Linked DNA regions of Lonchura striata. The protein of the gene in region 2 interacts with the protein of the main gene of each other region in a pairwise test. Links are inferred from orthologs where the notes say so. Each region holds a gene or a part of one and is shown on either strand. Other genes may lie near its edges. The genes, in order: NDOR1 and TCHP.

What was found.
Region 1: the proteins of TCHP (region 2) and NDOR1 interact in binary tests that used the Homo sapiens proteins (3 or more experiments, as listed by UniProt). The two-hybrid records come from large-scale screens. The link is inferred for Lonchura striata from reciprocal best matches to the Homo sapiens genes TCHP and NDOR1.

Annotation. Positions count from the first base shown.
Region 1 is NC_134624.1:5,298,335-5,306,418, forward strand, and holds the start of NDOR1 (NADPH-dependent diflavin oxidoreductase 1), read right to left. Parts: upstream 3,250-8,084; 5' UTR 3,192-3,249; intron 1,585-3,191; coding exon 1,450-1,584; intron 906-1,449; coding exon 828-905; intron 550-827; coding exon 452-549; intron 1-451. Other genes in the region: TMEM203 (transmembrane protein 203), read left to right, coding at 3,630-4,040. UniProt on the Homo sapiens protein: NADPH-dependent reductase which is a central component of the cytosolic iron-sulfur (Fe-S) protein assembly (CIA) machinery.
Region 2 is NC_134620.1:11,050,304-11,057,430, forward strand, and holds the start of TCHP (trichoplein keratin filament-binding protein), read right to left. Parts: upstream 3,036-7,127; 5' UTR 2,952-3,035; coding exon 2,904-2,951; intron 2,693-2,903; coding exon 2,636-2,692; intron 2,077-2,635; coding exon 2,008-2,076; intron 1,808-2,007; coding exon 1,637-1,807; intron 1,417-1,636; coding exon 1,304-1,416; intron 1,001-1,303; coding exon 934-1,000; intron 685-933; coding exon 512-684; intron 291-511; coding exon 209-290; intron 28-208; coding exon 1-27. Other genes in the region: GLTP (glycolipid transfer protein), read left to right, coding at 5,379-5,496, 5,846-5,907, 6,097-6,230, 6,711-6,861, 7,025-7,127. UniProt on the Homo sapiens protein: Tumor suppressor which has the ability to inhibit cell growth and be pro-apoptotic during cell stress. Inhibits cell growth in bladder and prostate cancer cells by a down-regulation of HSPB1 by inhibiting its phosphorylation.

The DNA.
Region 1 (8,084 bases), on a different chromosome or scaffold from region 2:
CCATAGAACATTTCCTTCCCTCCAGCCCCCCACTGCCCCACAGAGCCCAGGCACACCCATCCTCCCCACTAGAACTCTTTGAGGCACACAGAACAACCTTCTGGGAGAGACCTGGGACCAACGTGGCTGGCTGCCACCTCTGTTTGATGTCCCCTGTTGCCTTGGCCCATAGCTGTGATAAAAGACTGACACATTATGTCTGACCCTTTGCAGCAAAGAATCCTTGGTGAGGTTGGGAGGAAAGAAAAGGGCAGATGCCTAATTCCTGGGGGTGAGGAGGGACACAGTAGGGCAAGGATTTTTAAGGCTGGTGGGAGTTACATTTTGTCTGGGCTGCTGCTCCAGAATCAGACTCTGTCTCCCCTTACCCCCTTGGCTCTCCAGCCACTCTGCTCTCTAGTGCAGTCAGAGCTGTGAGGAGCAGCTGCCCAGGGGCTGCAGAGCTGCTTACTTGGGGTAGGAGGAGTCCCCGAGGCCCAGCACAGCGTAGTCCAGCTGGCACAGGGAGCTGGCAGGGAGGTTCTTCCGGAACAGGAACCGCCAGAACATCTAGGACAGACACAGCTGGCCAGTCCTGCTGCTGTCAGGCACCCTCCTGCCTGCCTGGCCCTGCATCCCTGCTCACCCACCCACCCGCTGGGGCCTCCTGCATCCTAGCAGAGTGGGGAGCATGGCTTTCAGCAGAAGTGCCCCTGCTCCTGCTCCCTGGGATGTGAGTGATGCTGCTGCAAAGCTGCCCCAGCAAGAACAACCCCTGCTCGAGCTGCTTCAGGAGAGACAGCTCTGCAGCAGGAACATAAAAGCAACAGGACAGAAGCACATCTTACCTTCATGTTGTCAGGTGGGTCTCCCTGGCCGGTGGTTGCACACACAAACACCACCAAGGGCTCGTGGATGAGGTTGGCCTGTGGGTACAAACATGGCACAGTCAGGTCAGCAGCCTCCAAAGTGCTCTGGAGCCAGGCTGGGACAGCTCGGGGTGTTCAGCCTGGGGAAAAGAAGGCTCCAGGGAGAGCTCAGAGCCCTTCCAGGGCCTGAAGGGGCTCCAGGAGAGCTGGAGAGGGACTGGGGACAAGGGGGAATGTCCATAAACTGAAGGGGGTCAGGTTTAAGTCAGAAATTCTTCCCAGTGAGAGTGACCAGGTTCTGGCACAGGTTGCCCAGAGAAACTGTGGGTGCCCCTGGATGCCTGGAAGTGTCCAAGCCCAGGCAGGGGAAGGCTTGGAGCAACCAGCACCAAGCCTATCTGAGTTCAACAGTGTTTGGACAACACTCTCAGGGACAGGGTGGGATTGTTGGGGTGTCCTGGGCAGGCCAGGAGCTGACTCAATGATCCTGATGGGTTCCTTCCAACTCAGCTTGTTCCACGATTCCGTAGTGCTGTGGGAGGTGTTGGTGCCCATGGGGCTGGAGCAGGGCAGTGCCCGGAGCAGTGAGTGTCCCACTCACCACGTCACAGCTGTCCAGGGCCTGCACCCGGCAGCGCAGGTGCCGGCGCTGGGCTTCTCTCCCAACCCTCTCGGCCGTGTCCTGAGCTGTCCCAGTCTGGCTGCCAAAAAGCACCAGGAGTCCCCGTTCTGCCATCTGCAGGAGACAAGAGCAGGAGGTCAGCAGAGGGTGTCAGAATCTGAGGTATTGATGATTCTGAGATTGTAGAAAGTCTCTGTCTGTCAGCCCCACTGCCAAAGCAGAAGCCATAATTGGTCTGTGCTGGTTTCCAGGTTGTTTATTCTGTTTATCTCTCACATGTTCTGCTGCCCTGCCCAGCTCTGTCCTGCAGGGCAGCGTGTGGGGCTCTGCCCTCAGTGGGATGTGACAAACATTCAATACCAGAAACTCCCTGGGCTGGATTTACAATAACGTGCCAATATCTGTCACCTACATTGGACAGTGTGTCCCCAGCCTGAACCAACAGAAAAATGCCAACACCACAGTGAAACATGGAGGGCATGAAGAAGGAGAAAAAGGACAAGACACACCCAATTTCCTCCGTCTTGCCTCCTTTGGACCCCTAATCTAGAATCCTAAAATTTTACTTTTGCACCCGTGCCACACTTAATTATTGCTTATATCAAACACTCAGGGGTTATAATTCATCCTGTAAGATTGAAAACTCTTTTCCATGGACAGAGATCACAGACAGTGTCTCTGGGGGCTGTGTCCAGGGGGTTCCTGACCCCTGCCAGGGTCCCAGGCCTGCCAGGACAGCCAGAGGGAAGCTCTGGATTCCTACAGAGGGCAGGAGAGGAAGGGAGTCAGGGCTGCAGCTGCCCGGGCCCAGCAGCACTGATCCCGGGGCTGACACAGCATGCAGCCAGCACAGGGGTGGCCAAGAGTGGGCCACAGGGGTGGCATTCAGCTGTGGGGCCAAGGCTCCCAGGCTCTCTTCCCACCCCTGTGCAGCACTGAGGGTGTGATCCCATGTCCCAGCCCATACAATAAGCAGGGACGCTACTGTGCTCCTCGTCCCCACTGCCAGGCCAGGGAGGGACTAAAATCCACATCCCGCCCCGCTGAACTGCCCTCGCCAGCACAGGCTGAGCACAGCTCTGGGACTGCCTGTTCCCCAGTCCTGGTGTAACCTTCCCGTGTGCCCTGGGAATCCTCCCTCCCCTGAGGGGGCTGGGGCAGAGCCTGGAGGCTCAGCACAGACAAAGAGAGCACACGGAGCTCTCGGCCAGACTGACAGAGCAAGGGCCCAGCCCGGAGGGAATGCAGCTCTGTCTGAGCTGCAAACGGCTGCCACCACCATGTGCCCACAGAATAGTATTAAATTAAATCTTAATAATAAAAAATAAAATCGCAGAATCACTGACTGGTTTGGGTTAGAAAGGACCTCGAAGCCCAGCTCATTCCACCCCTGCCATGGCAGGGACACCTCCCACTGTCCCAGGCTGCTCCCAGCCCTGTCCAGCCTGGCCTTGGGCACTGCCAGGGATCCAGGGGCAGCCACAGCTGCTCTGGGCACCTGTGCCAGGGCCTCACACCCTCCCAGGGAACAATTCCCAATTCCCAATCTCCCATCCATCCCTGCCCTCTGGCAGTGGGAGCCATTCCCTGTGTCCTGTCCCTCCATCCCCTGTCCCCAGTCCCTCTCCAGCTCTCCTGGAGCCCCCTCAGGCTCCCGGGAACCCTCCCCTGCCGGAGAGCAGCCCCGGCCCGGCCCGGCCCGGCCGCGCTGCGGGACTCACCGCGGACCGGCTCCATGCCGCCTCTGACGTCACCGCCGCGCGACAGCTCCCGCTGACGTCATCGGCGAGGCTGAGGCGCTGGGAGCCCCCGCTCACTGTGTCCCCGCCTGATGACATCATCCGTCCGTCGCCTCTCACCGTGACGCCATCGCCCCGCGCCGGCGGGCCGGGCCGGGCCTGGTGCCGGTGCCGGGCCGGGCCGGGCCGGGCCGGGCCGGGCTGGGTCAGGTCAGTGACTTGTGCCGGTGCCTGTGCCGGTGTGGGGCTGGTGCCGGGCTGGGGACTTGTGCCCGTGCCGCTGTCGGTGCCGGTGTGGGGCCGGTGCCCGACTAGGGACTTGTGCCGGTGCCGGTGCCGTGCCCGTGCCGGTGCCCGTGCCGCTGCCGTGCCTGTCCCCGTGCCGGTGCCGGTGCCGGGCCGGTGCCGTAGCCCCGGACGATGCTGTTCTCCCTGCGCGAGCTCGTGCAGTGGCTCGGTTTCGCCACGTTCGAGCTGTTCCTGCACGGGCTGGCCCTGCTCGCCTTCTCCGTGCTGCTCGTGCTCAAGGTGGACGGCGCGGCCGCCGCGCTCTCCTGGTGGATCGTGTTCGTGCCCTTCTTCGCCGCCGACGGGCTCAGCACCTACTTCACCACCATCGTGTCCGTGCGGCTGTTCCAGGACGGCGAGAAGCGCCTGGCGGTGCTGCGGCTCTTCTGGATCCTCACCATCCTCAGCCTCAAGTTCGTGTTCGAGATGCTGCTGTGCCAGAAGCTGGTGGAGCACACGCGGGAGCTGTGGTACGGGCTCATCATGTCGCCCGTCTTCATCCTGCTCCAGCTGCTCATGATCCGGGCCTGCCGCGTGAACTGAGCCCCGGCCCGGGGGCCGGGCCCGGGGCCGCTGCGGTCGCTGTCGCCGTGCGGAGGGGCAGGTGACGGGCGGGGACAGGGGCAGTGCCCCAGCTCGCCGCTGTGGTGCAGAGCATCACGTTTCTCCAAAAGCTGCACATCCCTGTTTGTGCCCCCTCAGCTCCTTGTCCTGTCCTGCGAGAGCGGCTGGGCATGACAGTTATTTTATTTTAGAATAAAAATGCATTGAAGGATTAGGTTTATTTCTGAGATTCTTTTTGCCTATAAAACAGTTGTACCTCAGACTGCTGCCTGGAGGGCGGGTGGTTGCTGTAGATCCCCTGGTACAGCCCAGACCCCTGCCCTGCCCTGCAGCTGGCTCATGGATTTCCATCTGTCCCCTCACTTCCCCGAGCACTTCATACCTTCAGTGCTCTGCTGGGGGTTTGTGAGGTCAGGTTGAGATCACTGATTTGTGTATTTTTGAACAGGAATATGATTTTTCTTTGTGTTTCACTCCATTTCCTACATTCAGAAATGGGGGTGTGGGGAGGCAGGAGCGTGCAGGGGTCTGGGCTGTACCAGGGGATCTACAGTAACCAGCCCCCAGCCCCCCCAGAGAACAGGAGGAATTCAGTATTCCCTGTGGAAGTGCAGACCAGTGTGTGAAGTGCCAGTGTCACCGGGATGCCAGGGTGGGGTTGTCTCTGCAGGGCCAGGAGCTGCACTGATGATCCCTCTGGGTCCCTCCAGCTCAGGAGGTTCTGTGATTCTTGCACAGCCTGAGGTGGCACCGACCTGCCTCTTCAGCTCCTGTTTCCCATTAGGATGCAATCTCCCAGGGCGTGCTGTCACTTGCTCCAGGTGCTCCCCTTGGGGCCTCTCAGTGGCTCCCCTGAGCCAAGGACACGTCACCTGGGAGGTGGCAGCCACCTGCTCACACCCCCAGTGTGAGCTCATCCCCCTCTTGCCTGGTTGTGCCACCTGCCCCCGGTGACCCCGAGCGCACAGCCAGGGCTGTTCTGTCACAGGAGGGGTGCCAGCAGCAGCCACGGGGTCACTGCTGTGGGGCTGGGGGGGCGTGGGGTGGCAGCTGTGTGGGGTCGGGGTGTGCTGCAGCGCTGGGGAGCTGGAGCCCAGCAGGTGAGGACAGGAGAGGAGCAGGACAGGCAGCAAAGCCTCTGAGTCAGGAGGGAACACGCACCGAGTGGCCTTGGGGACCCACGGTGCCTTTGGCCACTCCCACAGCCCCCAGGCACCAGCTAATTAATAAACTCAGGAAGGGGCTCATCAGCCCCAAAGAAGATCAAACAGATGACCACATCCCTCAGCCTTGCTGCATGGCACACAGCCTGCTGGGGCTGCCTGCACCGTGAGTCCCAAACCAGCTCCAGCCCTGACACCGGGGTGGTGTCAGAGACAGGGGGACATCTCCCCGTGTGCCACGTCGCTGTGCCACCCGCCTCACCTGCCGGTGCCTTTGCCAGTGCTTTGCTGCTGCCTCGGGGACAAACCAGTGGTCAGCGTGTCCCAGCTCTGCTCCTCCGAGGTAAGGCGGCTTCCCTGGGGTGTGTGGGGACACAGGGGTGACACAACACAGAACAGCAGCTCTGGCTGTGCTGCCCTGGTGGGGGTGCTGGGGTGGGGGCATGGTCTCGCAGCCAGGACCACCCTGTGTCCCTTCTCAGGACTCATGCTTGGTGCAGAGGAGTCACCTGCTGTGCCCAGGGCCACCAGGTCCTGGAGCAAACCCTGCTGGGGCATTAGTGCTGGCACACCAGCCTGTGGACACACAGAATTCTTTCTGGGAGCATCCCCCATGGAGAAATCCTGCTGGAGCCTCCCCACTCTGACACAGCTTGGGGGACCCTGACCCCATTCCCTGCCCAGTGTGAGCATCCAGGTGCCTGGCCTGGGCTGGTGACTGCTCAAGCTCCAGCCAGCACTCTCCCCGCCTGCAGAGCGCCCTGGCAAAGGTGAAAATGTCACCTCTGGGTTTATTCTCGTTGCTGTGGCCGGTGGGGTGGGTGCTGCTGCCAGCAGGTCCTTTCCCGAGCCCAGCAGCAGGGGAGTGCCCTGCTGGTCTGCCCATGTGGATGCCCTGGGAGGGAGGTGCAGCTCCCAGGGCTGCTGCTGCAGATGCCACCCCAAGCCCCTCTGCACCCTGGGCTGCTGGGGAAGGAGCCTCTGCACAGCCCAGCCCAGGTGCCAAAGCAGCATTCCTGTGGCACAGGGGCAGTAGCAGCCCCAGCTGCCACCTTCCTCCGTGTGTCCCAGCTCCTGCAGGGACGGGAGCAGCCCCTGGAGAGCCATCTGAACCTGGGGAGGGGTACACTGCAGGAGAGCAGCCAGTGCTGCTGCGTCCATGCCCGGAGCACAGCCTGCCTGCCACAGCCCAGACAGTCTCCCAGCAGCAGAGGACAGGGCTCCAGCATGGCCTGGGCCTCCAGAGGGGCAAAGGGGCTCCCAAAAGCCATCTGGGAATGGGTGGCCCAAGGGACCTCCATCCCTCCCTGCAGCTTGCCATGGGCAGTGCCTGAGGACAGGGAAGCTTCAAATGGCCCAGACTCCTCCAGTCCTGCTGGAATCAGAGTGGAGGGGAGGGCTGGAGCTGGTCTCTGCTGGGACAAATCCCAGCAAGACCCAGAGAACGTCTGGCAGAGGAACATGGGGCAAGAGCAAGTGGAGCAGCACTCCTGGAGGCATGGGACATGCTCAGAGCCACCGCCTGCACCTCCCCACCCTGGGACTGGGGTGACCTTACGGAGCAGAAACTGAGTTCTGGGAAATGAGACTCCCTTTTTTAAGCTTGAGTCAAGGTGCTTTCCTTTCGGAAGGCAGCAGGAAGGTGTTGGCAGTGGAGGTGATGTCATTTCACAAACAGCCGTCAGCCTGGCAGTGGTGTCTGGCCCAGAGCCCCGCCGAGTCCCCACACCAGCCTGGCAACTCCCTGCTGGGTGCCAGAGTCATTGCAAGGGCCACAGGCAAATAAATACATGCCAAAAGCAGATCAAACAGGGGTGTGTGTGTACTCTGGCCACATTTCCCCACAGCAGATTTGTCTATCAGAAGTCAGGATGAGACACTCGATCCCTTTCTCAATTAGGAGCAAATAGCACATTTCACTCTCAGCAGAGCACAGCCCTGAAGCCAAACAGGGCTGGGGTGATGTGCCCAAGGACCTGAGGGGAGCCAGCTGAGAGCAGCTGCCCCTGGGAGCCATGCACCCCATGGCCCTTCCAGGTCACCACATCACCCTGAGACCCCGAATTTAGCAGAGACACCCCTTTGGGCAGGAGTGTCTGAAGAAAATTGAGGGCTGGATGTAGCACAGAGCCAGGGTGTTGCGGGGCCTTGCTGGGGAGGATCAGGGCAATGAGGGCTCCCCTGCACAGCGTTTCCTTCCCAGCATTGCCCCGTCTGACTCAGCTAAGGCAGCTGGAACTGTGTCCTTCCACACAGATCCTTGTGCTCCTGCCAGAGCCCAGCCAGCACAGCATCACCTGGCAGAGCTGCAGAGCTGCCCATGGGGCCAGCATGGGCAAGGGGGAACAGCCCCTCAACAAAACCTCTGGGGCTGTTTCTTTACTACAAAAAGGGACAGGAAAAGTGAAGAGCTGCTTATCCTGTGTTTGAGTTTGGAGCTGGAGGTTTTGGTCAGCTCTGGGTGCACACAGCCAGTGGCAGTGCCACATGTCCCCAAGGGACCAGGGCTGGTTGGTGCCTCTGTCCTAAGTGAGGATGAGACCCCTGTGCTCAGAACAGCCCTGTGCAGTCAGCAGGGGATTTCCAGAGCAGAGACACTCATCCCCCCCTCCCACTGAATCCAGGTGAATCCAAAGGTTGTGTGTTCTGTGGAGGTGGGAATGCAGGAGTGGTGGCACCCTCTGGGCTTCAGGAGCCACCCCAGAGGAGACTGCCATGGGAACGTTGAAGTGCAATGTACTGACATGCCATCATAGCTCAAAATGAAAGAGTTTGTGTTTATTTTGTTCTTTCAGGTAAGAGTCAACTATGTTTTTCCAAAAATAGGGTGAGACTTACAGGAAATGCACGACAGACATTT
Region 2 (7,127 bases):
GATCTGGCGCTGCCTGCCTGCAAGGACCTGTGCAAAGGGAGGAGATGGAGGGAGAAGATGGTTAAACAGTTCCCAGGAAACACACCAGACAAGGAAAAAAATTCCACCCCACCATGGAATGCTCTAACTCTCCAAAAGGTGGTGGGTTACAAGTGGAATGATGGTTTCATTGAGCCAAGGGGGACACAGCCTCAATAGAGGTCATCACCTCACTCATCAGGCGATCTCTAGCCACCTTCTCTCTTTCCCATTCTTCTTCCCTCTTCTCCCAGATTTTTTTTGCTTCTTCCCTAAAGGAGAGAGGAAGAATTATCTCTGAGGTTAACCCCCGTGTATACTCCACAGGCACAGACAAGCTATCCTATTCTTGAGGAGCACTTGGGTTTCTCCTCAGGTTTGTTCCCTGCCAGTTGATGTGCCCATCCCACTTGTGCCTCTCAGTGACCCCCTAACCTGGAACATTCAGCACACACGGACTCCTCAGGTGAGGTTCAGAGGTGGGCAGACTCACCTGAAGATAGTCTCGAGCTCTGCTTCCCTCTCCTTTTCCAGCTGGAGCTGTTCCTCGATGACCCTCTTCATCCAGGCCACATCTGCCACCGCCCGTCCCCGCCGCGCGATCTGCCAGCTCTGATCCTCCTCTTCTTTCTCCAGGAGGGCTGATAAGATTTGCCTGTCTGTCTCCTGGGGGAGAAAACCACGAGATTAACAACTCTCCATGTGCAGGGCTCCTCTAGGCATTACTGGTGACAGTGACAAGGCTGTGCTCAGCAAGATGCTCCATCTGCTGCTTCCCCGTGAGCTTTGTGCTCCAGCCCTGTGCACAAGCCAGAAGGGGCCTCCTCATCTGTAGGAATCAAGAGGCAGAGGCAAACCACACACAACAGGTTTTTTCACCACACAGCATCTGTGAAGTATAAATTAATCTCTTACCAGCTCCTCCTGTACTTGCTGTGCTCGTCTCCTTAACTGGATGTCACACTGATGCTTCAAGAAGCGACTGAAGGAGGAAAAAAAGTAGAATTTAACAAAAAAAAACAAACCAGAATCACACTGACTCTAAAGCACCATGTCACTGTACAGCTGCACTCGGAGAGGTGCATCTGTGACAATGAGGAACCTGCTACCAGAAACAAAAAGCAGGAACAGCACCAGTGCCTTTGCTCCCTGGCTGCTGTGGGCAAATCCACCAAAACCCAGATATTTACATCTTACCACTGCTACCTAGAATATCTCCTTGTGCCCCAACTACTGCTGTGGGCACAGTAATTCTATCCAAAACAAGCTCCACTTGATGTCCTACCCAAACTCGCTCTTCCTCCGGTGCTCTTCCATTTGTTTCCTTTCTTCTTCCAAATTCTTCAGTTCCCGCTGCTGCTTTAATAAATTCTCTTGTTCTTTTTTCAGCTTTGTTGCCTAAAAAGGAAAACGCAAACACCAAGAGAGAGTACATCAGAGAGCTACAACATCCCAGAGAGCAGGCTTGACCAGAGTTTGTACCCTGTTCTGCTCCTCTGCAGGCAGGGAAAGCCCTCCCTGCAGTGCAAACATGGAGAGAAGAGGTCAGGTCAGCCCTGCTGTATTTCCAAGTGAAGCAACAAATTCCTTTCTCCAATGAGGAGAAAGTCAAGATTACCTTTGTCTCCTGCAGTTTCAGTTCTTCTATCTGCTGAAGCAAGGCCTCTGCTTGCTGCTTCTCCAGCTGAGGCTTCTCTTCGTCTTGTCTTGTTCTTTCCAGCGCTTCCCCTCGTGCCGTTTCGTACTCACTTTCATAACGTTTCTTCTCTTCAAGTTTGGTCACCTCTTCCTTTCCCAAAGAAAAGAAAACAGCATTTCAGGTTAGCCTGACACAAAGAAACAACTTCTGGCTCAGAAAATCCAACAGGCTCCTGCAAGCTGTTAGTGCCCTTCCTGGCATCAGCTCCCATGGCACAAGTGTCACCCCTCCACCCACACACACATTTCAGAGTCTTCTCAGTGACCAGAACACCAGGGTTGCCCCCATACCTGGTTTTGTTGTGTTAGCTGATCACTCCAAGCCTCCCTCACGTGCTTCCTGTGCAGCTCAGACTCTGCCTGGAGACACAACAGATGCAGCAGGGTCATCAGTGCCAGAGGTTCTGTCCCCCAAGGTCTTCCAGACTCTCTGGCCCTGAAATCCTAAGAGGATCTGCCTCTGCAGAGGTGGGCTCATCTGAGTGTCTGAGGTGCCCACCAGGTCTTGAGCTGAGGTCATTGTCACAGTGACAGTGATACAGGACTGCAATGTTGCAGCAGCACGTGGGTGGAATAAAGAATGAGGAAGCACCACAGCACGGCAGGTACAGCTGAGATATTAAGGTTTATATTTTTATATTATTTATATATTATGTGCCTGAGATATTTACTTGTGAGCTCTGAAAATTTGCTCAGAGTCTGAACAGATTTCTGACTTTTAAAAATACAGCTTTGAGAGGGCTCCTTAAAACTATTTCAACCCTTCAACCCTTTCACTTCTTTGCCTTTTGTTTATCAGAATTCAGGGCAGTTGCTGTGATGCAAGATGAGTGACCACAGTAGAGATATGATGACTTTCAAGTTAAAAACCGGTTTAATAAATACAAGGCAGCAGGGACTCAAGAGGAAGCAACATCACCTCTCGGAGCTGCGCGTTGTTTTTGTTCCAGCGCTCCTGCAGCGGCGGCTCAGCAAACTGGGAACACAGAGCTGGGTCAGGTCAGGACACGGGAGTGCTCGGCATCCCAAACCTCGCCGAGGCTGAGTTCAGGGCACCATGAGGTGACAGCTCCAGCAAGTTGGAGTTGGTACACTCCAAGTCCCGCTGGTACAGCTGAAGCACGGAACGGCCCCTCACCGGACGAGTCCCGGGATGCGGGACCAGCACGGCCGGGCCGCTCCCTCACCTTCCTCCCGCACTCTCCGAGGCCGTCCCGCAACTCCCGGCTCCGCATCCCGCCCCGCCGCCGCTCCCGCAGCTCCGCCGCCAGCGCCTCCCGCTCCTCGCCCAGCAGCCGCTGCAGCCGCTCCCGCCGCCGCTCCAGCCGCGCCGCCGCCTCCTCCGCGTCCCGCCGCGCCGCCGCCGCGCTGCCGCACACACCGGCGGTCAGCGGCACCCCCGCACCGCCCCGGGGCCCGCCGGACCGCGGCCGTACCTGGGCGGGGGGACGCGGGGCTCGCTCCACCGCGCCTGCAGGGAGCAGCAGGCGGCGGCGCGGGCGAAGGCGCGGCTGGTGCTCTCCCACTGCTGCCGGCTGCGCTCCTGCAGCTCCCGCCGCTCGGCCGCCCTGCGCTCCGGGCCGCGGCCCCACCGCCGCCACAGCGACATCGCAGCGCGCCCGCCCGCGACGGCTCCCGCCGAGGGACACGGCCAGACGGGCTCCGCGAACACGGAGGGAGGCGGGGACCGACGGAGGGAGGCGGGGAGAGAGGGAGGCGAGCCGGGAGGGACGGGGGATGGAGAGGCGGCGGGGTTCGGGTCGCTCCGAGCCGCGCCCCGAGCGCTCGCAGGATGCGCGGATGGAGCCCGGGCCGGGCGCGGTGCCGCCGTGCCGGCTGGGAGCGCGCGGCACCGCGGGGTTTGTGGCGCTGTAAACGTTTCAGGGCTTAAAGGTTCCTGTTTCTGCCCGCCTTGGCACGGCACCAGCGCGGCGCCACCCGCAGCGAGCCCAACCGGACCGGCCGCTGCGTGACCCGGGACAGCCCGGGCACTGCCGGAGGGGCTGCGGGCATCCCGAGATGGCTCAGGGCATCCGGAACGGGCTGGGCACCGCCGGACGGGCTGTGGGCATCCCGAGATGGCTCAGGGCATCCGGAACGGGCTGGGCACCGCCGGAGGGGCTGCGGGCATCCCGGGATGGCTCAGGGCATCCCGGGACAGCCCGGGCACCGCCGGACGGGCTGCGGGCATCCCGAGATGGCTCAGGGCATCCCGGGACAGCCCGGGCACCGCCGGACGGGCTGCGGGCATCCCGAGATGGCTCAGGGCATCCCGGGACAGCCCGGGCACTGCCGGAGGGGCTGCGGGCATCCCGGGATGGCTCGGGGCATCCCGGGACAGCCCGGGCACCGCCGGACGGGCTGCGGGCATCCCGAGATGGCTCGGGGCATCCCGGAACGGGCTGGGCACCGCCGGACGGGCTGCGGGCATCCCGAGATGGCTCAGGGCATCCCGGGACAGCCCGGGCACCGCCGGAGGGGCTGCGGGCATCCCGGGATGGCTCGGGGCATCCGGAACGGGCTGGGCACCGCCGGACGGGCTGTGGGCATCCCGGGATGGCTCGGGGCATCCCGGAACGGGCTGGGCACCACGGGAGAGGCTCCGTGAGCCCTGGACATCCCAGGACAGGCTCCGAGCACCCTGGGATGGGCTCGGGGCATCTCAGGCACCGCGGAACTGGCTCCTGGCACCCCGGGAGGGGCTTCAAGCATCCCGGGAGGGGGTCCGGGCATCTCTCAGGACGGGCTCCGGGCACCGCGGTAATTCGGCAGCGGGGAGGGAGGCGGCACCAGCCGGCAGCTCCCCGCACCCGCCCTGCCCGCCACCGATCGCTATCGCCCCACGACCTGTTTTTCCAGCATAACCAGTCCAAACACCGCATTTGGGGCCCCATCACCGGCCAGCCCGCTCCGCACGCAGCGGACGGGGCTGAGCCTCCCTCCGCTCCCACCTCTTCTTCACCTCTCCGCGTCCCCCCCCCCCAGCTCGGTGTCATTTTCCCCACCCAACCCCTGGGGCTGAGGTGTGCCGTCACATCCCGCGCGCGTTGAGGTTTGTTTTCCATCTGTTCCCTATCAAATATTTATCTCCCGTGAATAATTAACGCCGGCCCGCCCGGCGCTCGGAACGCGGCCGGGGCAGCGCACGGCCAGACCCCGAGTCTGAGGGGGCGATGAGGGCGTGGCCTCCTATTGGGCAGAAAGTCCCGCCCTTCGCCGCTCCGACCAATGGCTGCGCATCGGCCGTACGGCCGATGCGCAGCCATTGGTCGGAGCGGCGAGGGGCGGAGCCTGGCGTGGGCGCGCTGCCGGGTCGGCCCCCGCTGCCTCAGAGCCCCCTCAGCCGGGGAGCGGTGAGGGGGGGAAAGGAAGGGGGCTACGCTGGTCATGGCGCTGCTGCTGGAACACGAGTTCAAGCCGCTGCCGGCTGATAAGCAGATCGAGACTTTGCCTTTCCTGGAGGCCGTGGCGCACCTGCCTCCGTTCTTCGGTGAGACCGGGGTGGCCGGGGCTGGGAGATGCGGGCTGGCATCAGGCCTGCTGTGGGCTCAGTCGCTCTGGGGTGCATCTTCCCATTTCTGTGTGGTGACCCCCCCCACCACTACCTGATCCAGGGCTCACGCCGGGCTTGGCTGCTCTGCCAGGGCCGCGGTTGCATCACGATGCTGTCAAACCTGCCGAGCAGCCCCGTTGGGAAAAACGTCCTGGTGCAGGAGAGAGGCATCGGCGGGACAGGAGCTGCCATCCCACCCATGGATCCCACGCCGTGTCGGGACACGGGTGGGTGTTCGGCGTGGCCGCCCTCGTGGCACAGTGTGCCCTCCACAATGTCAGCTATTGTGTGGCAGCCCCGGAAGGGCAGGACGTGGGGCTGCCTGCCTGCGGACGGGCAGGATGTTCCAGGACCTTCTGCCAGGGCTGTGTCCAGCAGCCAGGGGGATTGGAGGTCACTGGTGGGGCTGTAATAAGTGGCAGGGCTGTCCCAAGGGCCAACAGCCATGTGTGAAGCTCAGAGATCCTTACTAGTCTCATTGCCGGAGCTGTGGTTAAAGTGAAACCTGTTGGTAAGGGAAGTTTGTTGTCCCCTGTGCCACCAGTGTCTAACTGTCCTCCCTCCCTGTCTCCACAGATTGCCTGGGGACTCCTATCGTCTATTCGCCGGTCAAAGCAGACCTGACTGGAAATATCAAGGTAGGAAGGGACTCAGGAGGGCTCAGAGAGGAGAATCCCTGGGGAGAAACCTGTGGGAGGTGTTTCAAAAGGCTTTTCTTCCCGTGAGGACTTTGGGCTCAGCAGTGGCTCACCCGGTCACAGGTTTATTCCCAGAGCTCCTGCTCAAAGTCCCTGCTCCCGGGTGCCAATCCCCTTTTCTGCCCGCAGAAAATCCGGGCGGTTTATGACTCCAACCCTGCCAAGTTCAAAACGCTGCAGAACATCCTGGAGGTGGAGAAGGAGCTGCACGGCTCGGCCTGGCCCAAGACAGGCGCGACGCTGGCGCTGATGTGGTTGAAAAGGTGACTCACGGCGTCGGGAGCTGCTCCGGCTGTGTCCCGGCATGTGGGGAGCTGGAGAGCTCCAAGTGGAGGCTGCGTGTGCTGGGCTGGTCCCTGTGGGCTGGGCAGCTGGCAGTGGGGTGCTGTGTTTGGCTGTTGGGAACTCCTTCCTCAAATCTGGCTCCCCAAGAATGCAGAACCTCAGAGCATGAGCCCACAAATTGGACAGGTCAGGAGGAGCCTGCAGTGCCTGGAGGATCCATCCACCTGACCCTGCCCAGCTCAGCCCTGGCTTCACCCAGGGCTTCCATCCTGCCCTGGGTGCTCCATCCAGCCCTTCTCTCTCTCTTCCCTGGATGTGCACACAGGGACAGGCACCAGCTCTGTGAGAGGGATGCACTGCTGGGACTCTGGGTTTTTGGGATGCTTGGAAACACCAGGCTGGAAGCTGGGAAGCAGCACCCACTTCCCTGAGCCAAACATCTCTGCTCTTCTCCCCAGGGGTCTGAAATTCATTCTGGTGTTGCTGCAGAGCATCTCTGATGGTGAGAGGGATGAGGAGCATCCCAACCTCATCCGAGTGAACGCCTTGAAGGCTTATGAGATCGCACTGAAGAAATACCACGGCTGGATGCTGCAGAAGCTCTTCACGGTGAGCATTCCCTCCCTCTCCAAGCATCCAACCACCATCCCTAAGGCTGTTCCCGTGCACTGACAAGTGTCTGGAGATACCACAGCGTTGGCACATAGGAGCAACCCAACCTATGGTCTCTGTTGGGTTTGTGGGAGCCAAACACCCTCTCCCTGTTTTACAGGGCTCGGTCTATGCTCTTCCCTACAAATCCGATTTGCTGAAGGCCTTGGAGAAGGGTAAAGAAGTCAAGGAAGAGGAAAGCATAGAAAAAATCCACCAGTTTG